Linked DNA regions of Mus musculus: regions 2, 3, 4, 5 and 6 are each reported to be linked to region 1. Evidence: microRNA targets listed by miRTarBase, many of them from high-throughput screens and not tested one by one. Region 1 holds a microRNA gene; each other region holds the end of a gene's coding sequence. Distances are from middle to middle.

Evidence for each region. The annotated mature microRNA mmu-miR-5125 reads UCUGCCUGGGAUUUCCUUGU and lies in region 1 at 2,636-2,655, shown strand. An mRNA with a match to its seed (bases 2 to 7 or 8) in the 3' UTR can be bound and repressed. Matches are read on the target gene's strand: a 7mer-m8 pairs with bases 2 to 8, a 7mer-A1 pairs with bases 2 to 7 and ends in A, and an 8mer does both.
Region 2: miRTarBase lists Ccdc78 as a target of mmu-miR-5125. Seed matches in the 3' UTR shown: 7mer-A1 at 3,502-3,508, 7mer-A1 at 3,496-3,502 and 8mer at 3,486-3,493.
Region 3: miRTarBase lists Wnt2b as a target of mmu-miR-5125. Seed matches in the 3' UTR shown: 7mer-A1 at 2,985-2,991, 7mer-m8 at 2,260-2,266 and 7mer-A1 at 2,205-2,211.
Region 4: the mRNA of Nol10 is a reported target of mmu-miR-5125. Seed matches in the 3' UTR shown: 7mer-A1 at 3,492-3,498.
Region 5: the mRNA of Mdp1 is a reported target of mmu-miR-5125. Seed matches in the 3' UTR shown: 7mer-m8 at 1,026-1,032.
Region 6: miRTarBase lists Mrpl19 as a target of mmu-miR-5125. Seed matches in the 3' UTR shown: 7mer-A1 at 3,551-3,557 and 7mer-A1 at 1,364-1,370.

What each region holds. Positions count from the first base shown.
Region 1 is chr17:23,820,704-23,824,789 of GRCm38, forward strand. Mir5125 (microRNA 5125) reads left to right here and starts at 2,588; the gene lies at 2,588-2,666. Srrm2 (serine/arginine repetitive matrix 2) reads left to right here. Exons shown (of 15, transcript NM_001368687.1): 11 at 1-987; 12 at 1,710-1,997; 13 at 3,088-3,201; 14 at 3,313-3,417; 15 at 3,513-4,038. The coding sequence ends at 3,522. Elob (elongin B) reads right to left here. Exons shown (of 4, transcript NM_026305.2): 4 at 4,037-4,086.
Region 2 is chr17:25,789,649-25,793,734 of GRCm38, reverse strand. It overlaps Ccdc78 (coiled-coil domain containing 78), which reads right to left. Exons shown (of 13, transcript NM_001165929.1): 11 at 3,883-3,949; 12 at 3,710-3,810; 13 at 3,222-3,625. The coding sequence ends at 3,523. Antkmt (adenine nucleotide translocase lysine methyltransferase) reads left to right here and starts at 1,341. Exons shown (of 5, transcript NM_145410.4): 1 at 1,341-1,682; 2 at 2,059-2,163; 3 at 2,249-2,389; 4 at 2,752-2,802; 5 at 2,957-3,235. The coding sequence starts at 1,521. The coding sequence ends at 3,187.
Region 3 is chr3:104,943,108-104,947,193 of GRCm38, forward strand. It overlaps Wnt2b (wingless-type MMTV integration site family, member 2B), which reads right to left. Exons shown (of 5, transcript NM_009520.3): 5 at 1,698-4,086. The coding sequence ends at 3,864. It also overlaps a transcript of St7l not described here. Among named protein-coding and RNA genes, the nearest start is that of Wnt2b, 17 kb to the right of the region's middle.
Region 4 is chr12:17,429,020-17,433,105 of GRCm38, reverse strand. Nol10 (nucleolar protein 10) reads right to left here. Exons shown (of 21, transcript NM_001008421.1): 21 at 3,011-3,991. The coding sequence ends at 3,872. Among named protein-coding and RNA genes, the nearest start is that of Gm36752, 5.5 kb to the left of the region's middle.
Region 5 is chr14:55,655,640-55,659,725 of GRCm38, reverse strand. Mdp1 (magnesium-dependent phosphatase 1) reads left to right here. Exons shown (of 6, transcript NM_023397.5): 4 at 249-356; 5 at 441-526; 6 at 652-1,837. The coding sequence ends at 743. Among named protein-coding and RNA genes, the nearest start is that of Mdp1, 2.8 kb to the left of the region's middle.
Region 6 is chr6:81,958,158-81,962,243 of GRCm38, forward strand. It overlaps Mrpl19 (mitochondrial ribosomal protein L19), which reads right to left. Exons shown (of 5, transcript NM_026490.2): 5 at 1-4,005. The coding sequence ends at 3,784. It overlaps Gcfc2 (GC-rich sequence DNA binding factor 2), which reads left to right. Exons shown (of 17, transcript NM_177884.3): 17 at 1-941. Among named protein-coding and RNA genes, the nearest start is that of Mrpl19, 5.7 kb to the right of the region's middle.

The DNA.
Region 1 (4,086 bases):
GGCATCTGTGAACCTTGCTGACTCAAGAACACCAGCTGCTGCTGCAGCTATGAACTTAGCCAGCCCTAGAACAGCAGTGGCTCCTTCAGCTGTGAACCTTGCAGATCCTCGAACCCCTGCAGCTTCAGCTGTGAACCTAGCAGGAGCTAGAACACCAGCTGCATTAGCAGCTTTGAGTCTCACAGGCTCTGGGACACCTCCAACTGCTGCAAATTACCCCTCCAGTTCCAGAACACCCCAGGCTCCAACCCCCGCAAACCTGGTGGTGGGTCCTCGATCTGCGCATGGCACAGCTCCTGTGAATATTGCTGGCTCTAGAACCCCTGCAGGCTTGGCTCCCACAAATCTCTCCAGTTCCAGGATGGCTCCAGCATTGTCTGGTGCAAACCTCACCAGTCCCAGGGTGCCCCTTTCTGCTTATGATCGTGTTAGTGGCAGAACCTCACCTTTAATGCTTGATCGAGCCAGGTCCAGAACACCACCATCTGCCCCAAGCCAGTCTAGAATGACCTCTGAGCGTGAGCGGGCTCCTTCCCCTGCTTCAAGAATGGTTCAGGCTTCTTCGCAATCTCTTCTCCCTCCTGCACAGGATCGGCCTCGGTCCCCTGTGCCATCTGCTTTTTCAGACCAATCTCGTTCAGTTGTCCAGACCACTCCTGTAGCAGGGTCTCAGTCCCTTTCATCCGGGACAGTAGCGAAGTCCACATCCTCTGCTAGTGACCACAATGGCATGCTTTCTGGCCCTGCCCCTGGGATATCCCATGCTGAAGGTGGGGAGCCACCTGCCTCTACTGGGGCCCAGCAGCCTTCTACATTGGCTGCTCTGCAACCAGCTAAGGAACGTCGGAGCTCTTCCTCCTCTTCATCATCATCTAGCTCCTCCTCCTCTTCATCATCTTCATCGTCATCCTCCTCTTCCTCTGGCTCCAGTTCTAGTGATTCAGAGGGTTCCAGCCTTCCAGCTCAACCTGAGGTGGCACTGAAAAGGTGAGGCAATTAAGGGATCTAGGGAGCAGGGACTTAACAATGGGTGGGTGAGTAGGGAGGGAGAAATCTTGTCAAAAGCACTTGGCTTTGAGAAAGTATGGGGGACCTTGGCCTTCAAGCTGGGAGTAGAAAGAATGTTGGGCGGGGGCTTTGTGGGGAGGAATGGGACAGATAAAAGTCTCCAAAGGTTAATTCTCCAGAGGATAATGATAAGTTTTCCATCTCTACAGAGGACAGAACTAGAGGAAATGGACTTAATTTTACAGCAGGAGGGATGGCAGTTAGACCTCAAGAGGAACTCCCTGGGCTGGAAGGATCTTCAGAGGTCATCCCATCCCTCTCCCTGCCTCCAGGCAGGACGGCCCCTCCCCAGCCAACCTGCACTCACAGGGGCCTCCCCAAGCTGCGGCTCTCCAAGGAAGGAGATCACCCAGCTTCAGCTTCCACATCTGAGTCCAGGGGCCTTAATCCTTCATCAGGGACATTCTTGAGGTTTAACCTTGATCCCTTGTGCTTCGGGCCCCAGCCTGTTGCTTGTGTTAGCAGAGGTTTGGTCAGCTCTGTGCCACTGCTCCAGAGAAGTACTACTCACTGGCCTGCCTTCGTGTTTTCCCAGGGCTTTTCTCAGGCACCCCTCCCCCACTGCCGTTCCTCCAGGCCAAGGAAGGTAGGGTTGGGGTTGGGGCATCTTGTCTCCTTGTGACACCTTTCTTCTCTCACAGGGTTCCCAGCCCCACCCCAGTCCCAAAGGAGGCTATTAGAGAGGGACGTCCTCAGGAACCAACCCCGGCCAAAAGGAAGAGGCGCTCTAGCAGCTCCAGTTCCAGCTCCTCCTCCTCCTCCTCTTCCTCTTCTTCCTCTTCCTCCTCCTCCTCATCTTCCTCCTCCTCTTCTTCCTCTTCTTCCTCCTCTTCTTCCTCCTCTTCCTCCTCCCCCTCCCCTGCTAAGCCTGGCCCTCAGGCATTACCCAAACCTGCAAGCCCCAAGAAGCCACCCCCTGGCGAGAGGAGGTGAGTGCTTTCTTGCCTGTTGTGGAAGGGGGGTTGGGGTGAGTTCTCCAGAAAGGGGACCCTGGGTGAGGTTCCTGCTGGGGTGCCTCGTGTGGACGTCTGTGACTGGTTGTACGGGAGAAGGAGTGCCGGACTCCTCCCATCCTCCCACAGTGTTGTATTCTGGTCAAGGGCTGCACTATCTAACTGAGGTGTCCCAGGCCATATCTGGGAAGTCATAGGATTCTTCCTCCCTCTCCCCTCCCCTGACAAGCAGCCTGGTCTCAGAGATCTAGCTCTAAGTCTCCCCATTGCTGCTGCAGGGCTCTGGTCTGGCCACCGTCATCTTCTCCCGACTCTGTCCACAGCCTCCTCCCTGTCTCCCTGCCTCCACGCCATTCTCTTCCACACGTAGCCAGAGGGATCTTTCTAAAACGCACATCTGGTTACTTCCCTTCACTCCACAAATCCTTCCGGAACGCCCTGTGGCCTGCAGGATAAAGTGCCACCTCTGCGGGAATGGCGTGTGAGGCTCTTCACCAGCTGCCCTTGCCCGCCCTGTGCTCCTCCTGCCCGCCCCCACACATGCCCCGTGCTCCGGCCATACCCAGCGCCTTGCAGTCTAAGGAGAGCCCCATGCCTTTGGACATGCTGTTCCTTCTGCCTGGGATTTCCTTGTCTGCCTGGTGAACTCGTTCTGCAAGACTGCATTCAAACAGCACCTCCGAGAAGACTGCCCTGCCATTTCCCTGTCCTGCCCAGGTCCCCATCCTTTCTCTGGATCCCCAGGCCCATGCATATCCATCCTGCTGGGCTGTTTCCTATGTAGGGGGCGTGTGTGCCTTCATTGTTAACCTTTACTACCAAACAAAATTCTTCCAAGGGCAGGGACTCTTTTATCTTTGCATCCCCCGCTGCACCCTGTGCCCTGTCCACTGGGGTACTCGGTGGATGGTGTGCGGGCGGATGGGTGAGTGCGGACAAAGGTGGGTCTGAGGCTGGCCCTGTGTGGTGTGAGGTTTGGTGGTCAGGACCTGGGTGGGTGGTCCTGAATGCTTGGCTGGTGGGTTTGGGAGGATGTGGAGCTATAGAGGCCTACTCTGCTTCCTAGGTCTCGAAGTCCTCGGAAGCCAATAGACTCCCTTCGGGATTCCCGATCCCTCAGTTACTCACCCGTTGAGCGTCGACAGCCCTCGCCCCAACCTTCACCAAGGGATCTACAGAGGTAGGGCCTATAGCAGGTGCTAGCAACCTGACTCAACTAGCTACCATTAATTTGTAAGCAAAATTTAAAAGTTTTTGGTATTGTTCTGTGACCTAATTTCTCCTCTTGTAGCAGTGAGCGAGTTTCCTGGAGAGGCCAGCGAGGGGACAGTCACTCTCCTGGTCACAAGAGGAAGGAGACACCTAGTCCCCGTTCTAATCGTCACCGCTCCTCCAGGTGTGTCTCCTTGGAAGTCTGGCCCTTCTGAGAGCTAGTAGTTAGGGATAGGGATATGTGTGGTGACCCAGAATGACCAGTCTTCTCTATTCCAGGTCTCCATAATCTGGATTCCACTACACCTCATACTCTGGAGACATGAGTATTCCTCATTTTTCCCAGAAGAATCATGGAAGGAGTCTTTGTATGCCTTCCCTTGAACCTTGGCAGCATCTTGAGGGGAGAGCGTCCTCTCCCACCCACCCTTTTTTTTTTTTTTTTTTTTTTTGGTTCCTGTGAAATGTTGATCTCTGTGAGTTTTTCCTGGTTCTTGTGTTTTGGGGGTTGGAGTGGGAGGGAGGGAGTCTAGGGAGGGAGGGGCACAGCTCAGGACATCTAGGCCTCAGATTGTGATGATCCAGGGAGTTAGCTCCCTAAATTCTTGGGTGACTGATGGTTTAACTTGGTAAGTTGTAATCTTTCCTGAAAGAGGAAGGAGCTGAAGTTGGTTGGCCCTGCTGCACCCCCTTACAAGGTTGTGAGGCCCTCTCCCCCCCAACTTTGTTTAAGGCATTTTGGTTTTTTAAAATCTGTACAGTAAAAGCAACTTTTTCTGTCAAATAAAAATGAGAAATGCAGTAATTGGTCTGTAGTCTTTACTTGGGGTTAAGAGTTCTGTGAACAAGAGGG
Region 2 (4,086 bases), 2.0 Mb from region 1:
TCTGAATCGGCCCCTTGCTACTACTTCTCTTCTCCCCAAGCTCCATGGAGTGCTAAGGATTTAGACCCTTGTCTTTCCATCTGGTAGGGGAAGGCTGGTCCAGTGGCCTCAAGTCTGCTCTAGGGAACAGGTGGTGAAGACTCCAAACAGTAGAGACAGAGACAGCAAGGAGGATGGTGTGTATAAGCAGGACCCAAATCACAGGAGCTAGCCTGGGAAAGCCTTGCGAGGAGCAGAGACACCTCCAAGTAGAGCCCTGGCAGCTGAGGAGCAGAGTGTGGGTGCCAATGTCAGGTCAAGTTGCCAGGGCTTCCTGGGTGCTCTTGGTCTTAGAGTACTGCCAGGAGCAGCAGACAGGAATAGCTATGTCCAAGCAACCCTGTCTAGAATTCAGTGTGTGGGAGGGCTCTGGTATAAATCTTCCGGTGGCCAGGTTCTGAGCTGGATGGAGCAGAGCCTCTCTGCAGAATACATGTACACAGAATACATGCTGTCTTGCGACACCTGTCCTGCAGATGGTTTTGGAGGGTAACACTCTGTGCCTGGGCGATAGGGTGGTGGTATTGGGCATGTTCAGTTTGGAAGCCATCACCGTCTATGCTAGGGATAGCCGAAGAGGCCATGAGTGAGCATAGTCAGGGAAGATCTACCATTCTCAGACAGTTAGCCTTGATGTGGGTGGTCGGGGTCCAGCAGCTTGACTCAAGGCTCTATCTGTTTCCATGCAGGGCCTTACTAAGAGTCACTCAACCCTTTATTTTTGAAAGAAGGAGATCTTCCGGACTCCTGGGCTGTCTTCCACCCTAGGCTGGGCCCTTTGCCAGCACCCAGTCGCTCACATCCGGCCCCCTCCCTCCGTACTCACTAGAGAGCCAACATCTGTCTCTAGCTGCCCGCCCCTCTCCTTCGACCCCAGAATACTCTCTGTTTCCCGCCTAATTATTGTCGCGGAAGAGGGGGAGGGGCGGCTGGAAGGACGTCCTCTGTGGTTTGCTTCTGGATTTTTGGTAGGCTTTCAGTCATTTCTTGTCTTGATCAACAGAATTTGCGTGAGAGTGCCTTTCAGTTATAGACCCTGGCTATAACCCGAGGCTGCCGGCCAGCAGTACAGCCTCAGGGGGATTTAGAACAGATTCCATTCCATGTGGTTGTCTGTAAAGTGGACCCTGAAGCTGACCGCTGTATGTCTCGGACCGTAGACCCACTCGTGGCAAACCCTGTCATTCTCGCCCATCGCCTGGGTCATCGCTACCCCAAACCATCACCCGGAACCCAAGGAGGGTCCCCCGGATGGCTGGGCGGAAAAGAATGAATGTCGGACTGGCCTCGGAGGCCTCTTCCACTTCCGGCGACTGATCGCAGCGGATACTTAGATTTCTGCAGTTGCGGCTGCGGTTGGCTGGCGTACGCTGCAAGCGGATAGAGTTTGGCTCAGGCTGGGGGCAGCGGGGAGGGCAACCGCTTCCATTACCGGCCGGGAGCCTTGGGAAGTAGGACCTGGAACTGAGTGTCTGTCAATCATGGATCAGGACGACCCAGCCGAAGCGTTGACTGAGCTACGCGAGAAGCGGCTGGGCTTGCTGGAGATAGTGCAAGCGGCGGCAGGCTCGGGATTGGCCGTCTATACTATATGGGCGCTGCTGCTGCAGCCGGGCTTCCGCCGGGTGCCTCTGAGGCTGCAGGTGCAGCGTTGAACCTTGGAAGGAAAGGGGCCAATACTGGTGCAAGCCAAGGTTCCATGGGTGGGGTCAAGGCTACTGTAGGTAGCGTAAAGATGGGCGGAATCAATTATGGCGCGGGACCTAACCCGGGAACCCGATGTACGGAGAGTTGGGACCAGGAAGTTGCGGAGCCTGGGTCTTTCGTCAAGACCAAGTCTAAATGAATGAAGCTGGGATTGAGTTACTTAGGGGGTACGGGCCTATGACTGGAGAGTGGGCGGGGCTCACTGGATGGTATCAATTTAAGAAAGGAAATCTAGTAGGCTCCCATCGGCCCCCAAACTGGTGCTTCTGCCTGTGTGATTTCTAGCCTCAGCCCACCAAATTCCTTATTCAGGTGCCCTACGTTGGCGCGAGTGCCCGGCAGGTTGAGAACGTGCTGTCACTGTTGCGAGGCCGCCCTGGAAAAATGGTGGATCTAGGCTCTGGTGATGGCAGGATCGTAAGACCTGTGTCTATATATTCGTTGTCCCTCTGGTGGTGGCCCCATTCCCTTCATCCAGATCCCACACTCTTGGCTCCCATAGGTGCTGGCGGCCCACCAATGTGGTCTCCGTCCAGCTATGGGATATGAGCTGAACCCGTGGCTTGTGGGACTTGCACGGCTGCATGCCTGGAGAGCCGGTTGTTCTGCGAGTGTCTGCTACCATCGAAAAGATCTCTGGAAGGTACCCTACCAAACTTGATACCCCTCCCTCCCCCTCCCACTCTCTTTCTTTCCAAACTTGATTTTCTTTACCCTCCCTCTTCCTTTCATTTTTTTTTTTTTTTTGAGATGTGTGTCCAGGCTTATCTCAAACTAGCCTTGGATTATAGGCATCAGACCTAGTTTATGCAGAACTGGAGATTAAACCCAGGGATATGTGTATGCTAGGCAAGCACTCTGCCACCTGAGGCACACCTCCAGCTCCTGATATCTTTATCTCCCAAGTTTCATGCTCTGAGTGGCTATTATGTGGATATCTGGGTGGGCTAGAGGCCCTACCTTGGGGACTGCATGCCCTCCAGCCTTTACCCTTGTTTTCTACAGGTGAGCCTCAGGGACTGTCACAACGTGTCTGTGTTCCTGGCTCCCAGTGTGGTAGGTTTTGGGTCTGTTGTCCTGCTGGGAGATCAGGGCCACAGTCTTGGCTCTTGGATGCTCTCGGGCCTGGAATATGTTCTGGGCTCAGCTGGATGGGGCAGCTTTTTCTGACCTGCTCCTGTGTTCTTTTCCCTCCTGTTCTTTCCTACAGCTCCAACTGCTGGAGGACAAACTGCAAGCAGAGCTCCCTGTGGGGGCCCGTGTGGTATCTGGACGATTCCCCCTTCCCACCTGGCAGCCTGTAGCTGTGGTGGGCGAGGGCACTGACAGAGTTTGGGCCTATGATGTCCATGGTTCTGGGCCAACTGTGTCTTCTTGTGGGGTGCCCATCAAGGCCATCCCAGAGTCCAGTTCTACCTTAGTCCCTAGAGCCCCTGTTTGACAAACTGGCTGACTGGATAAAATAAAGACTCTGTGGGTTCAATCCTGACTTTTGTTTGTTCCAGGAATCACTTCCTGGGGCAGGGTGTCCAGAGGGTTCCATGCTGGCTGTAAAGAGATTTCTTTTGAGATTTTTCTGGGAGACTAGCTAGTGACTCTGAGTCCTTGGGCGCTGAGGCCTAGTGGAAGATACAGCTTTTTTTTTTTTTTTTTTTTTTTTTTTGAGACAGGGTTTCTCTGTATAGCCCTGGCTGTTCTGGAGCTCACTCTGTAGACCAGGCTGGCCTCGAACTCAGAAATCTGCCTGCCTCTGCCTCTGCCTCCGGAGTGCTGGGATTAAAGTCGTGCGCCACCACTACCCGGCGAAGATACAGCTTCTACTCCTTGGGGATCTCCAATATTCACCAACTTCCTCAGTTTCAAGATTTCCTGCTTGTACCTGATTGGAATGATAAATCACTTGTCTGGCCATGGATTCTTTTCTTTCCACCAGATTAGGACCCTGGAGCCACATCCAGCCTACCTGCCCAAGTGCTGGTCCACATACTCCTGTAGCTCAGAAAGCTGCTGCTCTGCCATGGTGGCCCGGACCATCAGCTGTGCCCGTTCCCGTTCTAGCTCTGCCTGGTGGAGGCATGAGTTATGAGCCATGGTAGGAGGTAGAGTAGGGGGTCTCCGCCGCTCCTTCCCTACTACCTGAGTGTCCTGGGAGAAGTCCTGCAGCCTCTGCTGGATTTGGGCCCAGGATGCAGTGTCTAGGGCCCTGTGAGGAGAGGGTAGGAGGGGCAGTCTCCGAGCCAGGCATAATACTTGCTGCGTGGTTTTAGGACAGCATAGCACTGCCTGGAGCCCCGGAGCATCTGCACTTGGATAGTCCCCTGACTAGCTCAGTGAGCCCTC
Region 3 (4,086 bases), not on the chromosome of region 1:
TGATAATGTAGTTTTGAAACATTCCTTGCTTGTAGCTGACCCTGTTGTTGGTGTGACTTCTGGAGGATCTAGCTGCTTATTTTAATTGTTGGGAGAGGTGAGATTATTATAATCCCCATACAACCCAAAAAATGCTGTGGGAGTCTGTTTTGAGTCCACCTTCTGCACATGGGTCCATGTGTGTCCTCAGAGTTATGCTCAGGCTGACAGGAAGGGCAAAGAGTAAAAAAGAAGCATGCCTTTCTTATATTCCAACACTGCTTCGGAGGTGCCCAGCCCCCGCAGTACAGGCAGTTCCCAAGTGGAAGGTGGGGGCAGAGGCCTCCAGCAAGGCCATCAATAACCAGGTGTGTAATGTGAAGCTCGCTGTATTTCATTTCTGCACCCAGGGCCAGCTCTGCAGGGTTGCTTATGGAGCGCTCTGTGTCTGGCACCTCTCTCCACCAGACCCAGGCGCCCAGGGCCCACCGACCTGCCCAGGAATGCACTGCATTGTTCTCTGCTGCTGTAATTTGGCTGCAGGAGCTAAGCAGAATGCCTCCCAGGGATGAGAAACACTCTCCCTGGCCGCGTCCCTTATCCCCAGCTAGCTTGGGCTTCTGCCCTATGACCACTGAGGGCATTTAAATACAAATTTTAGAAAGGTGGGGTGGGGGCGGGAAATCCTGATTATCTGTCTTCTATTAAGCCATGCAGAGACTTATGTCCTGAGTGGGTCTAAGAATTTGGCAAGAGACCTGATGGTTGGTGTTCTCGATAAGGGATGCAAGAGAAAGGGGAAGATAGTTTCCTACAGCAGAGAGGAAGAGAGATGAAGCCTGGAGTGCTCATAAGTTAAATCTCCAAAGCTTTGCACACAGACCCTCAGGACAGTATTTTCTTCTTTTAATCTGAAGTACACTAATGAAGAGCGTGCTCTGATGCCATTGTTCAGAGCTGAAAACTGAAAGCTTCTTTTCTATAGTGCTGAGTTATGGGGTATGGCCAACATTCTTTCTTCCTGTTTGTTTGAGACAGGGTCTTACTCTGCTCTTAAACTAACATGGAACTCACTGCTCATAAACACAGCTATCCTCCTGCATCAGCCTCCCAGAGTGTTGGGATTACAACCATAAGCCATCACCCTGGCTCTTCTATTTAAAAGAAACTGCCTGCAGGCTGTGCAGCCACTTCTCCGAAAAGATCCTATTATCCCTAAAGGATAGAAACAGTACCTTTTAAGTTCACTTTGTATCCAAATAGCTCCTATTGAAATACACTGTCCTAAATGTTTATCAAAAGATAAATGAAGTAAGGGCCAACACGAGAGAAAGGAACTGAGGAAGGAGGTTAAGACACCGCTGGTGGGCAACAAACCTCTACCATCTAGAGACAGAAGAGGAGGCCTTCAGAGCAGACAAGGAGTAGGTAGCAACAGAATTCTGTGGAGTCCCGGCACGGAATAAAGTTCTTGTTTTGTTGCTTGTTCCAAATAAATCAGTTTGTTTGTATAGCGCAGAATGAGCGCCAGTTGTCTAAAGCCAGTTGGAATGCAGAGACAAGCTAAGTTCGGAGGAAAAACTAATTGCTTGGCCACCATTCCTTCTTGGGGCCACACAGCTTCCGTAGCAGGACTCGGATATCTTTTCTCTCACATAAACACCTCACTTTACAAACTTCTCACTCCCTGGACAGCTATTTCTCTCTGAGCCATTTATAAGTGGTTGTATATCTTTATCAGCTAGAATTTGGAGCCCAGGCAAAGGCATGGAGTAATATGAGATGTCACAGATGTCTGCCACAGCTAAGAACCCAAACTCAAAGAGAATACAGCACAAGTAGATTTACCTCAGGCTGGCTCCCCAGTGAAGGCCAATGCCATCACTGATACCGTAACTTGGATGTTCTCGCCCCTGCCCCAAAACTCCTCTCTTCCAAGAGAAGTCCCTCTTCCCCTCCGCCCCCCTCCGTGACCCCACCACTGGCTCATCAGTTATCCCGTTGACTCTACTCTGCGAGGAAGACATTCCCTCCGCCTGACTCACTCAGTCCCGTTTCTCCAGTCATCCCCTCACCACAGACCACAAGGGCCCTGACTAGCTCATGTTTTGTGTTAATGGATGTGAAACCGGAGCAAATCCCCTCACCAAAAGAAAAACCATACTAAACTCTCCCACACAGGTCTCAGCAGGTTACACAAATATTAGTCCTATCATCCAAATAAATCTGCCTCTGTGGCCAGAGCTGTGCCCCCCCACCCCACCCCACCCCAGCCTCCTGCTGCCTGGGCAGAAAGAGGTTGCTCCACAAACATCTGAGAGTACGATTGGATGAAGAGGAACCTGAGAAGAGAGAGAGGAGCTATATCCAGAATTCCTTGTGAAAGCCTTTGAATCTAGTCTGTTGTCTGCCCAGACAGCCCTAAATCAGAAGGTCCCAGAGAAGCAGGAAGTACTTGACCAGTGAGAGTGTTGATGACGTCTATCAGTCGGCTAGAGTTTGGGGCACAGTTAGATCTCAGTTTCACCCTCACTTTACAGATAAGAAAATGGGAGAGGAGAATTTAAAGACCCTGCTGAAAATAAAAAATAGAGAGTAAATAGCTGGGATTAGACCTAAGTCTAACTGTGGATTTCTATACTATTTCTGTTTATCAATAGGGAAGAAGATGACCATTGTCGAGGTCACATAAAACTAGACCATCAAGGTTTGGAACCCCCATGTCACTGTGCCTGCTCTCTTTGAAGGCTCCACTCCTGTGTACCCTCGTTAGGCAACGGTCAGTAGCACAGAGAGAACCTTCCCTGTTTAAGTCGATCGTGGAACGTGCAGTAGTTAACAGTTGGACCTGGTGAATCACAAAATAAAGATTTGCTGGGTAAATGAGAAAGGCCTTATAGGATGTTTGCCACCTCGGCTCCAGCACCAGCTCTCTCTCTATAGCTGCTGCCTTTTGTTCCTACTTCAAAGCTGAAGATCCTCAAGAACTAGCAAAATGCGAGATCTCTGCCTTCCTAGTATACACTGATCCTCATGGAACCCCTGAGATCAGGTGCGCTCACCCTTCCCATGAGTTACCTCCCTTCCTACCGAATCTCCGGAATAGTGGATGTGGGGGAAGTCCCAAGGCCTAGCCAGGCTTTCTATGTCATTCTCTCACAATCCTGTTCCGGGCCTCTAATGGCCTGGTAAGAATTTGACCCACTGCAAGCTGCCTCACTCTGAACAGGCAGCCAGTGAGCAGGCTGCTGCTGTGTGATGTAGGTGGAAAGGGAGGCACAGAGAATGTGTATCTGTAGAGCATTGTGATTTTCCTCCTCACCAAACCACTACTTTATAAGCTGCGTAGAAGCATGATGTGGAGCCTTGTTCAATGTGGCTAACCCATCTAGCTATCTCAGGGTCTCAGCAGAATACTATGGCCTAAGATTGTCTGCCCGTACTGTCTCCAGCAAAGGGACAGGCAGTTTTATCTCTGTCCTATCCTCAGGCAGAGTAGCATCAAACACGGAAGCTACCTCCAGGTTCCCTTCCTGTTGCATACCCAAAGAGGATCAGAAGTCAGTGCAAGCAAAGGGGAGGATGAGCCTTGACTTAGTGCAACTCAAATCACTCTGAAGACAGACCTCTCCTACTCTCCCTTCAAACCTCCAGATGGACCATCAGGGAGTCACTCAGCCTCCTAAATCCATCCCCTATCAACACGTCCCTAGGGCTAAGGAACCAGGCGGCCGGGACATTGGGGTCCCTCCGGATCACTCTCCAGGTCCGTGACAGAAGCCATAGCAGCCCAGGATTGAGGGTAGAGGAAGGTGCGCATGCAAGGGTCTTGTGCTTTTGAGTCAGAGGCTTGAAGTGGAGGGAAGAATGAGGTTTCTGTGTGTTCAGGTCTGGTCCAGCCACTCTGCCTTCTTAGGGGCCTTGCATGTGTGGACATCCACAGTGTTTCTGCACTCCTTGCACCGCACAGCACAGCACCAGTGGAATTTGCACTCACACTGGGTGACGCGGGTGACCCGAGTTGTGTCATACCCTCGGCCACAACACATGATTTCACACCCATCTGTTCCTTTAGAAGTCTTGCTGCAGACGCGGCCTGCGGTACCT
Region 4 (4,086 bases), not on the chromosome of region 1:
CCTCTGTCAACCTTTGCAATTTCATCTTTTTGCATCTCATCTCTGAAAGCTCAGGTGGGAATCACTTCTTAGGCATAAAGGTTAAAGTCTGACATTAAGTAGAAAGTTGAACTGATAAGTGGATATTAGCCCAGAAACTTAGGATACCCACGATATAAGTTACAATTTGCAAAACACATGAAACTCAAGAAGAACGAAGACCAAAGTGTGGACACTTTGCCCCTTTTTAGAATTGGGAACAAAACACCCATGGAAGGAGTTACAGAGACAAAGTTTGGAGCTGAGACAAAAGGATGGACCATCTAGAGACTGCCATATCTGGGGACCCATCCCATAATCAGCCTCCAAAAGCCGACACCATTGCATACACTAGCAAGATTGTGCTGCTAGGACCCTGATATAGCTGTCTCTTGTGAGGCTATGCTGGTGCCTGGCAAACACCTAAGTGGATGCTCACAGTCAGCTATTGGACGGATCACAGGGCCCCCAATGGAGGAGCTAGAGAAAGCACCCAAGGAGCTAAAGAGATCTGCAACCCTATAGGTGGAACAACATTATGAACGAACCAGTTCCCCAGAGCTCGTGTCTCTAGCTGCATATGTATCAAAAGATGGCCTAGTTGGCCATCACTGGAAAGAGAGGCCCATTGGACTTGCAAACTTTCTATGCCCCAGTACAGGGGAACGCCAGGGCCAAAAAGTGGGAGTGGGTGGGTAGGGGGGTGGGGGGAGGGTATGGGGGACTTTTGGGATAGCATTGGAAATGTAAATGAGGAAAATACCTAATTAAAAAAAAAGTAGAAAGTTGAATGTTCAATTCCATCCCACTCAGTCATTTGTGACAGGGCAGGAGAACACAGCGTTCCTCTAGCTTGTCTTCTTGCTGAGGCCACTTTAGGTTTAACTAGAATTTGCTCTCCTCCATGGAGAATCCTGTGGGAAATAATTACCAACTCTAAGAGGTCAAGATGCTCCAGCTAATTTACCTTGGCTTCTGTTATACTGCTTGCTTGTACAGCTCTTTCCCTGCAGCTGCCAAGTGAGATACCAGGATGTGGTTTTGCCTTAAAAACCCCTTATGCTAAAAGCTTGGTGCTGTACTGGGCCTCAAAGACCTGAGTGCAGTCACCATTGGCAGCTATGGACTACGTCTGAGTGGTTTTCTCTGGTGGGCACCCCATAACGGCTTAAATAAACATTGCATGATGTGGTAGGCATTGTTCGAGAGATTAAGATACACAGCTACAAACAAAACATACTGATTAAAACATTCCCCCTAGTCCTTATTGAGTTGGCATTCTGGAAACAGGAGCTGACACTGGACAAGCTAGCTGAGAACTCACCGTGAGCACGTTGCACACTGCTGGGGCATGCTGGTCTACTCGACTGTTCCCCATCCATTCTTGTGTGTACCCGACACTTTCCATAGTAAGGTTCTAAATTTATGCTATACTTATTTGTGTGTGTGCACATGTGTGTGCATGAGTATATGAGCATGGATACTCATGTATAGGTCAGATATGATTTACTGTATTTGGTTTTCTTCTTCCACTCAAGAAGACTCTGTGGTCCCCGTGGTGACGTTTTGAAAGCATATTAAATGGAGTACCATTTGTAAACACATGCTGACACTGGGATGTGACAATGTAAATGGGGCAGAATTGACCAGACAGGAGAGAAAGTAACTTGAGAGGCCTGGGGGAGCGTGGGGAGCTGAGGGAATGCCCGGAATGTTCTAGAAAGAGGAAGGTCAGTGTGGTGACAGCAAACAAAGGAGTCTGTGCCAGGCAGGGTCCTTCAGGGACTCAGGATGTTACTGGATGAGAAGAGAACCAGGGGAGGATTCTGAGGAAAGGATCTGAACTCAATCTTCTTCCCAGAAGCCCTTCTAAGTCCCGCACCCCTGGGCCTGTATTTTCTGCTGTCTGCCCTGTGTTAATCCTGCCCCTCCCAGCATGTCTGCTTCCTTCAAAGGTTACTGATGAAAATACTTGAAACAGAAGATTTAGGCATTGGGATTGGGATACTAAAGCTTTGAGAGGGATCTGGAGCAGAAGAGCACACATCACTCAGGAACCCCAGTCCTCCAGGGCCTGGTGCCCAGCTTTGGTGCTACACTTCTCACACTAGCTCCTAAGTCTCACCGGGAAGGACAGCTGCTGGCAGGACTGGACAAAGCCACATCCTAGTGCTGGTAACGAGCAATCACAGGTTAGGGTTTGAGCCTGAAATGTCTCCCACAGGCCTCTAACTTAAACATCTGTCCCCAGATAGTAGTTAGGATGTGTGGGGATGTTCTTTGAGGTGAAGGCTAGCTGGCAGAGGTCAACCACAGGTTGCTCAGACAAGCCCTTTAAGGCCCTGTCTGGGTTTCCATTTCCTGGCCTGTAGTGATGTGAACAGCATCTGCACACCCTGACACCCTCTGAAACTAAGAGCCAAGATGAATCCCTTAAGTCCATATTGATTATTTTGGTGATAGGTGTACAAAAGCAACTGATATAAACACAGAAAAATGACAGAGTGGGATACCAGCATGCACAACAATTTTAAAATGGGAAACTTTGAGAAAGGGAAGAGAGGGCACCAGGGGCTCACAGCCCCAGGAGGGATCTGCTTAATAGTTAATAAAGAGGTAGGAGTGTGTGTGCGCGTGGGTACGTGGGTGCGTGCATGCGCATGTGCAGATTCATGTACCAACAGTCAGAAAGTTCTTGAGTACACATCACAGGCTAAAGAGACAAGGGTCCAACAACACTGACTGCTAACTAATGTGTCCTGCCTTGTGGACTCACCATAGGTACAGCCTAACGAGCTCCCATTCTATTTGTTTACATGAGAAACTCCAAAGTATGGAAGCTAAAGTGAATTTTAAATTTCCACAGGCAGGAGTCTTCCTCAGAGAAAATGTCCAAAGAAAAGCATCTCCTTTTATAGGCGCTGCCTGTATCAAATAGTACTTCATCAGAAAATAACTACGTAATTTTGTGATAAGCTAAACAAATAGCCAGTAGCGTTCACTTATTATTTATTAATTTATACCCTTGATATAAAAATAGCTTAAAAACTATACAAAGGAATATAAGCAAGCCAGTCAGCCTGCCAACATACTCATGCACATAAACAGGGCCACTCAGCAGTCATCATGTGACTCAGTCCTGAGGGGCAGAAGACAGTGGGGACAGACACTCTGGCTGGGCCTGGTGGTGCATCCCTTTAACTTCAGCACTCAGGAGGCAGAGGCAAGTGGATCTCTATGAGTTCAAGGCCACAGATTGAATTCCAGGACACCCAGAGCTACACGGAGAAACCCTGACTCAAGTCTCAAATAAACAAATGACAAAAAAACAAAACAAAACAAAACAAAAAACCCCAAACCATTCTTTTTTTTGGGGGGGGGGGGTTCCAGACAGGTTTTCTCTGTGTAGCTCTGGCTGTCCTGGAACTCACTCTGTAGACCAGGCTGGCCTCGAACTCAGAAATCCGCCTGCCTCTGCCTCCCAAGTGCTGGGATCAAAGGCGTGCGCCACCACGGCTGGGCTAACCCAAGCCATTCTTACAGCATGATAATGTCCTGTTTCCAGTAGAGGGTGAACTTTTCACTTCATGGAGGCCTTTCCAATATCTGAAATGATGCCTGATCATCAGCAGGGGAGAAGACAAGATTTAAGGGGGGCGGGGGAGGGGGAGAGAGAAAGGGGCAGCCACTTGGAAAAAGCACCCAGGGCCAGGGACTTCTCCAGGTGGGTAGTGGGCCAGTCAGACCACCAGCACCATGCACACACATCTACACGGAGCCTGGGTGTGATGCCCTTGTGAGAATCCATGGGGAGAAGCACAGCGTCTAGTTGCTCGTGGGCACATTTCTTTGGTCAGTGAAAGGGCCGGCCTCTTCTGGGTCTGGACCTCAGGTGGCTGGCCGACCTGCGCAGATTTTTCCTTTCCTGACGATGCAGTTTTTCAGCCTCCTGTTGCTTCTTTTGCTGTTCAGACTAAAAGAAAGTGAGGTGAGTAGAGGAAAGGGTCTGCTATAACCCTCAGGGAGGAGCAAAGGCTGCCAGACACACAGTCCTGCGACCAACACTGT
Region 5 (4,086 bases), not on the chromosome of region 1:
GCCTCCCAACTACTAGGGTTAAAGACATGCGCTATCCACTGCCCGGCCTTCGTTGCTTTTCTATCATTAGCTTTCTGTACTTCTAAATTACTAAAGATTAGTTCAGCGCTAGCTATGTCGGAATCTCTGGAACTGAATAACAGGGCAAAGTTGTCCCTTTATCCCCTTATACCTAACTTTGCCTGCATCTCTGGCACTCCCCTAATGCATGTATTTAATGCCTTTTTTTTTTTTTTTTTTTTTTTAAGGACAAGTGAGATACAAGGGGCCAACCAACTCCTGGAGCTCTTTGACCTTGGCAAATACTTTATTCAGCGGGAAATCTACCCAGGCAGCAAAGTCACACACTTTGAGAGGTAGGCAGACAGCTGGTGTGGGAGCAAGTGGACTACAAAAGAAGTCAGCTTGACAAGTGGTTACCCCTGCCTTGTTCTTCACAGGTTGCACCACAAGACCGGAGTTCCTTTCTCTCAGATGGTCTTCTTTGATGATGAGAATCGGAATATCATAGACGTTGGCAGACTTGGTACTGAGTCACTGCTGGGGGGTGAGGGGGGGGGAGTTCTTAAAAGAAGATAAAGTAAGTGTAGGGTGGGTAGTATACGGCAGAGCCTTGAAAGTGTGGTAAAATGTGACTGCTCTTTGTTCCAGGCGTTACCTGCATTCACATCCGGGATGGGATGAGTCTTCAAACGTTAACTCAAGGATTAGAGACATTTGCAAAGGCCCAAGCTGGACTCTGAGGTCCAATCCTGTGGATAAGCCTCATCTGCAGTGTAAAACTAAAATCAAGAAAGCCTTGTCAGGGGCTCTTGTATTAAAGTGTCCACGTGTGACAGTCAGGGTTCTGCCACCGTATGGGTTGTTTCCATTTTTCTTTTCTTTTTCACAAAGATTTATTTATGTATATGATACTGTCATTGTCTTCAGACACACCAGAAGAGGGTATCGTATCAGATCCCATTACAGATGGCTGTGAGTTACCATGTGGTTGCTGGGAATTGACCTCAGGACCTCTGGAAGAGCAGGCAGTGCTCTTAACCACTGAGCCATCTCTCCAGTCTGTTTCCATTTTTCTAACATGTAAACTGAAGTTGTGTCCTGATTAGAGTGCACCAGGTTGTTGTTTCCTTGTGTTGGAACCCACCCTGAGACCTCCTCCAACGGTTTCAAATAGTGGGGTGCCATAACGCTGTGCATTTCTTTGTAGGGACTAAAAGTTAATACTGTTTGGAAATAAGGTTGGGGCCGGCCGGCCTTTTCTGGTAGTAGGGAGTAGCTCAGGAATGAGCCAACCATAGCACGAGGCTTTGTCCCTCCAAGGTTTTAATTGCGCTATATCCTGATTGATGATGTCATGGCTATCTATATCCTGGAGGGATTGGCCAAGGCCCTTCTCAGAATGGTGATAGTCTAGAGGAAGGCAGGCAAGCCGAGGGATAGAGGCGGGAGAGAGAGAGCAATGAATGGACTCTGGACTCGGCAGACTCTTTAGGAGGTGTGACCCTGGGAGACATTGGGCCTCCTGGGAGGTGCTGGCCAGAAGGGAATGGGAACAACAAGAGCCAGGCAAGAAGAGGCCCAGGAGACAGGCTGGCCTGAAAACCTTGACCCAGCCTGGCACCCTGTTGCCAGAGGCCAACCTTATCCAACCGCCTTGTCCCAGTCAGCCTTGAGCTGGACTGAGTCAGGGGGTGTGAATGGATGGTGGTGAGACAATTGTTAACTCCTGTGGCATGCATGGGCTTGAGGGGACTGCTTTCCAGGTGGCTGTATCCAGTCGTTTCTAAAATGTTGTTGCTTACTTCATTTGAATAAAAGAGATCCAAAGTGAAAAGGAAAGACAATTTTCTTTAAGCTGTATCTGCTGATATGGGTGTGTCTAGAAAAACTCATTGGCAGTATAATGTGCAACTCAGCAATACAGATGATCCCAAAAAACCAAGGCAGCATAGATGTAGGCTCTGGATACCATGTTCAAAAAGGCTTACCGTTTTCCCGGTGTGACACTGAGGTAACCCTGGGAGGAGCCTTCACGACACATATACCCAATTACAGTAGTTTATGGAAAGCTGGCCGTTCTGAGTTTGGGGGATGTGGGGGATGTAAAAAGGAAAGGATGTAGGAGCGTAGATGGCGAGATGAGCAGGTCATGAAAGACCTTGTATATTCCAGAAGCATTTTTGGGTTATTATCCCGTCAGCAATGCAGAGAGGATGGGAGGGTTTAAAGCAGGCAGAAGGCACCAGACTTTTATTTGCAAAGGTTATTCACTATAGAAATGGGGGGAGAGACTGGTACATTGTCTTCCCTGTACCCCAGTCCCTTGAACTTCCTTTAGTTTGATCATGTAGAGCAGGATCTTTGACATCAAGACAGACAGCAAGTGGGACAGTGGTCATCAAATGTGACTTAAAATGAAACTAAGAAGGTGCCAAAGAACATGGGCTTTGGAGTCTGCTTGCTTCTTTTATTTTCCTCTTTTGAGTCAGGATTTTGCTATATATAGTCCTGGCTGACCTGGACTCATGTGAAGGTCAGACTGGCCTCAAACTTACAGCTATCCTCTTGTAGCAGCCTTTCAAGTGTTGGTATTTTTAGGTATGTGCCACCATACCCAGCACAACATTTTGATCACGACTTAATCTACTGAACATGACTCCAGACAAAAACATTTCAGTCTTTGTGCTCGTCTTCATATTTGTCCAGTGACACCAACACGTTCATTATAATTACTTAGAATGTACACCTAGCATACACTGTGTACTCAGTAACTGGTAGCTAATACTTTTCCTTCATACAATACGGGTGTGCTCCATTGGACTCTTGAAGAAAAGGAGGGTTTAATTCCTGAAGAAACAATACAGAAACTGGAGGAGACAGAAAAAATACTGATCAAGAAACTAGAACTGGAGTTACTGGTAGTTTTGAGTTATCAGATGTGGTGTTGGGAACTGCTGGGTCCTCTATAAGGTTTTTTCTCTTTTCTTTTTGGTTTTGTTTTGTTTTGTTTTGAGACAGGGTTTCTCTGTGTAGCCCTGGCTGTCCTGGAACTCACTCTGTAGACCAGGCTGGCCTCGAACTCAGAAATCCACCCGCCTCTGCCTCCCAAGTGCTGGGATCAAAGGCGTGAGCCACCATCGCCCGGCCTTTTTGGTTTTGTTTTGTATGTGTTCTTTTGTTTTGTTTTTGATACAGGGACTTGGTACCCCTGGTTGTTCTAGAACTTACTATGTAGACCAGGCTGGCCTTAAACTCAGAGATCTCCCAGCCTCTCTGTCTTCTGAGATTTTTTTTGTTTGTTTTCAATTTCTTTTATTTTTGTGTATGTCTCTGTGTGTTTATGCCACATGTGTGGGTGTCCACAGAAATCAGAGGAGGGTCTTGGGTGCCCCAGAGCTGGAGTTAACAGGCAATGTGAGCTGTCTCATGTGGGATGATGGTCCCTGCATCTCATGTGGGATAGTAACTGCATCACAGTTGGGATGGTCACTACATCTCAGGTGGGATGGTTCCTGCATCTCATGTAGAATCACTATATCTCATGTGGGATGCTCACTGCATCAAAGATGAGATGGTGGGAACCAAACCTGTGTCCTCTAGGAGAACAATAAGTGCTCTTAACAACTAAGCCTTCTCTCCAGCTTGCACTTCGAATTTCTTAAACTTCTCAAAATATACACATGTCTTTAATGATTAGAAACCTTGCTTTCTTCATGAAAGATCCTTTTGCTAGTCAGGGTATTCTAAGCAAAAACGATTCATTTTTAAAGCTTCTTTAGGGAAGAAAGTATAAAATCCAATGTGAGGCTATATGATGGAAGGACTTGATGGTGTGAGGTGAGAAAGCCAATGGTGGCTAGGGGCTTCAGGGAAGGGAGGCTGAGGGAAGAGCGCCCTCTGATTCCTTGGCAGTGTATCCTGTTCTTAATGACGTTGGAAAGGCAGAGGGACTGATAGCTAACATCACAGAACAACAGGAGCTGGCCCAGGAGATCTCGGGTGCCATTTCTCACTCTGTGGGTCTTGGAGATGACAGGGATGAAGTGACTGGGGTGAGAGAATATTAGAGGGGTCAGAGAATAT
Region 6 (4,086 bases), not on the chromosome of region 1:
GGCCTCCTGATGCTTCGTAGCTGAGGGAAGTAATGCACAGCAGCAGCCGAGCTCAGTGTGCTGCTCTTTTACTCTCTCAATCCGGAAGGAAATGAAGCAATCTGACACACAGAAGCATGCCTGAATCAAAACCATCTTCAGCAAACTCCAATGTTTGCAGATCAGCTAATGAGGAAGCTCTATCTCTGGATGGTTTCTTTTATCTTATTCTTTGGTGGGGACTCGGTCTCATTCTGAAGTGTAAGGAATTACTTATTAAATAGCTAACACATTTTTATACAAACTGTCCTTTCAAAATCTGTACTGACTTACTGTGTGAAATCAGTGCAAGAGAGTGCCAGTGATCTCCAGATTTTGATTCATTGTCAATTTGTTAAAAAAAAAAAAACTTTGAAAAAAGATTTATTTTTATATGTGTGGTCATGTATGTACCTGGGTGGGTTTAGCACTACCTCCATGTAGGGGCCAGAGGGCATCAGGTCCCCTGGAACTGGAATCCAGGAGGTTGTGGGCCATCTAATGTGCTTGGAACCAAACCCAGGTCCTCAGAAGAGATCTTCACCCTCCCTGTGAAGAATGAAGCTGTGGTCTGAGTCATCTGTAAGTCCTTAAGTGAGGCTTTTTTGCTATGTTTTGTGTAACTCATGGTAGGACTAAAAAGGCCATTGCTCTTTTAAATACAGAAATGTAAAGTATTTCTCTAATTAAGGTAGTCTGAGGCAAGGTGATTAAGAAATTATGAACTTTTCTCAAAATGACTGTATTAATGTTCTTAAGTATATTTGTTAAGCAACTCAATGATGATCCTGTATTTATTTTTCCGTGTTGTCACTTTAGACATTTGCTCGTTACAAAAGCATGTGTATATGTGTGCAGAAAGTTTTGTATATAAATGGCAGAGACTTTATTTTTGCTGTTAAAGGGCACTTTTGGAAACTGTTCTCTGGCCTTGGCTTCTTCGAGATGGACGTGTGGATGGCTGTGCTCTCGGTCATCATCTCTCTTCTTCATGGGATGCAGAGTAGTAAGCTATCGCCTTTAAATTCCATTACGCCTGGCATGTGAGCTTCCAAGCGTCTTTAAAACATATTGTGATGCTAACTCTACTGCCCTTTTAGAGTTCTTACTCGTTCCTCCTGGTCCTGTGAAATGAAGGCGCTGACACAACAGGTGCACACACTCACCTGGTGATTCGTCTCACAGACCCAGTGAGCTGCGGGCCAGCTGGGGCTTCATGAGACCACGACAAAAACTTAAGAACCAGAAACAACAAACTTTCACTGTCCATCTCTGATGGTTTCTTTTGTGGAGACTGGGTCTCATTCTGAAGTGTACGTGACACTGATCTTGGAACCCTCCTGCCTCTGCCTCCCAAGCCTTTGGATTACCACACCTGGAGAGGGGAACTTAAAAGGCCTAACTGCAGAGACACCGTGTTCGTGAGTTAGAAAACTAATTTTAGGTAAAGTCTTATTCTCCTTCAACTGACTCATGAATTTATTGTCAACACTGAAACAGGTTCAGGAAAATGAAGCATACAGGAGAACAGCCTAGGGCCCTTTCTACCCACCCACACAGACAGGTCTATCGGGAGACCTGTGTGTGTCTCAGAGACTGGACAGACTCAGTGGCATTCCCTTCCCAGCACCCACACCAGGTGGCTCACAACCACCTGTAACTCCAGCTCCCGGGGGTCTGATGCAGTCACACAAGCATGCACTTAAATAGAAAAGAGGTACTCAGCATCTAAACTCCAAATAATGGTTCCAGGAAGACAGAAGCAGAGGAGAGAAACTCAGCAGCAAGAGCCAAGTCTCCCAGAACTCGAGTCAGCACTGAGAGGCTTACCCACAGCCCTAAACTAGGTAGATAAATGTACCTGCCCGTGCACCAAGCACAGCACACGTTCTCTGCTGTCCAGTCATGCCCAAGGAGCAGAAACCCGGACGACGCTGGGTTTCTCAATGCAGCACTAAAACTATTCAAGTAGACTCTGTAGCATGGAGACCTCAGAGAAGAGAGAGAGTACAGGCCAGATAGTACAGTCTCTCTCAAGAGTAAAACGTGGCCAACGTGACTGAAAGGACTCCTGAGCCTGATCATGAGGTATATGTATGCCCATGGCGGTCCACACACATGCACATCTCTGGAAACTAGAATAATTAAGGAGTTAGCAGCCAGGAAAATGACACGGAATGCAGAGCAGCTCACCAGAAAAATAGTCCTGAGATCCAGGCTGGCACTGTGATGTTACAAATGGGTTAGCCTTTACTCTGTGAGGCATCCCAGCTTCCCAGCCCATGTTCAGCTGCACTCTGCCCCACTAGAGGGAGTGCTGACCCCCAAAAGCTGAAGCTTGATTCATAGGGAAGATAACACTCTCTGACCATCTTCCTGCTGGACATTCACACCCAGTTCACACAGGCTCTGCCAGGTACCCTGAGGTCTGCTTAGCAGACTTCACTTGGAATTCTACCCATGGAATTCCTCACAAGTGGCTTTTGTAAACTTGGGGGAAATGAAGCCAGAATACAACAACTCAGATTCCCACATTCTTCTTAAAACTGCCATGTAGCAAAACAGGACCCTTTTCTACCAGCTAATGAGCCTGTCAAAACTAGACATTTAACAATGGAGAGATTATCAGGTGGGTTGTGTTAGCTGGGGTTTCATTGCTGTGACGAGACACCACGACTAAGGCAACTCTCATAAGGGACAACATTGAATTAGGGCTGGCTTAACAGTATCAGAGCTTCAGTCCATTAACATCATGGAAGTGTCCAGGCAGACACACGGCTGAGAGTTCTGCATCTTGATCCAACTACAGCTAGGAGAGTCTGACGCTGACCACACTTGAACATGAGACCGCAAAGCCCACCCCCACCGTGACATACTTCATCCAACACGGCCACACTTCCTAACAGTACCACTCCATATGGGCCAAGCATATTCAAACTACCACCTGTGTCATAAGCAGCTGTAACTCCAGTTCCAGGCAGTCTGATACTTCCTGGTCTCTGGAACCATGTACACACATACAGGCCTGGGTGCTAGGAACTAAACGTAGGGCCTCTGCAAGAGTAGCAAGTGCTCTGAACTACTGAGCCACCTCTACAGCTCCTATTCTTACATTTTAACTTGCACACTGTTGTGTGTTTATGGTTTTTTCCCTACTCCTCTTGCTCAGATCCCAGTTCATCTTATTCTGGTGATGCTAACTTCACTGGCTATAGAAAGGGAATGACTGTCAGGTGATTGCTCTTTTGAGAGCAATAAACTGACATGCAGACTTTATGCTAGGTACCGAAAAGTGAGGAATGCTCATTTAATCACTATGTCCTTACAAAGCAAACTTAATGGCTTTCAAACCAAAGAGCTAATACATTAACCAAAGGCATTCTCAGAACAAGGGCTTAAAAGAAAGATACTTTTTTTTTTTTTTTTTTTTTTTTTTTTGGTTTGTCAAGACAGGGTTTCTCTGTATAGCCCTGGCTGTCCTGGACCTCACTTTGTAGACCAGGCTGGCCTCGAACTCAGAAATCCGCCTGCCTCTGCCTCCCGAGTGCTGGGATTAAAGGCATGCGCCACCACACCCGGCAGAAAGATACTTTTAAGTGTGTGTGTAATTGCAGTACACATACGCAAGGATGTGCAGTAGAAGCCAAAGGGCAACTTTTAGGAGTTGTTACTCGCCTTCCGCCCTGGGTTCCAGAGTCAAGTTCAGGGCATCAGGCCTGAGCCAACAGGCATGTTTACCTGTTGAGCCATTCACTAGTCCCAGGATCAAGACTTCTTCGATGCTTCTATTTCTTCCCACAATGCAGCTTCAATTTTTGAAGTGTCATATTCTCTCATCATATCAAACTCAATCCATGGCTTGTTCCACTTCTGGGCTTCCTTCATTTGCTCTTCAGTTAAAGCAAGGTCAAATCTGATTCCCTTAATGTTGAAGTTTGGACGTTCCCAGCGTTTGGACCACGGCTTTGGCTTCATTTTAACTTTCAGCTTAGCAAAACAAAAACAGGAATTGTGGGCTGGTGAGGTGCACACAAAAGTCTTCCCCCCACCCCCGCCCCCACCCCCGCC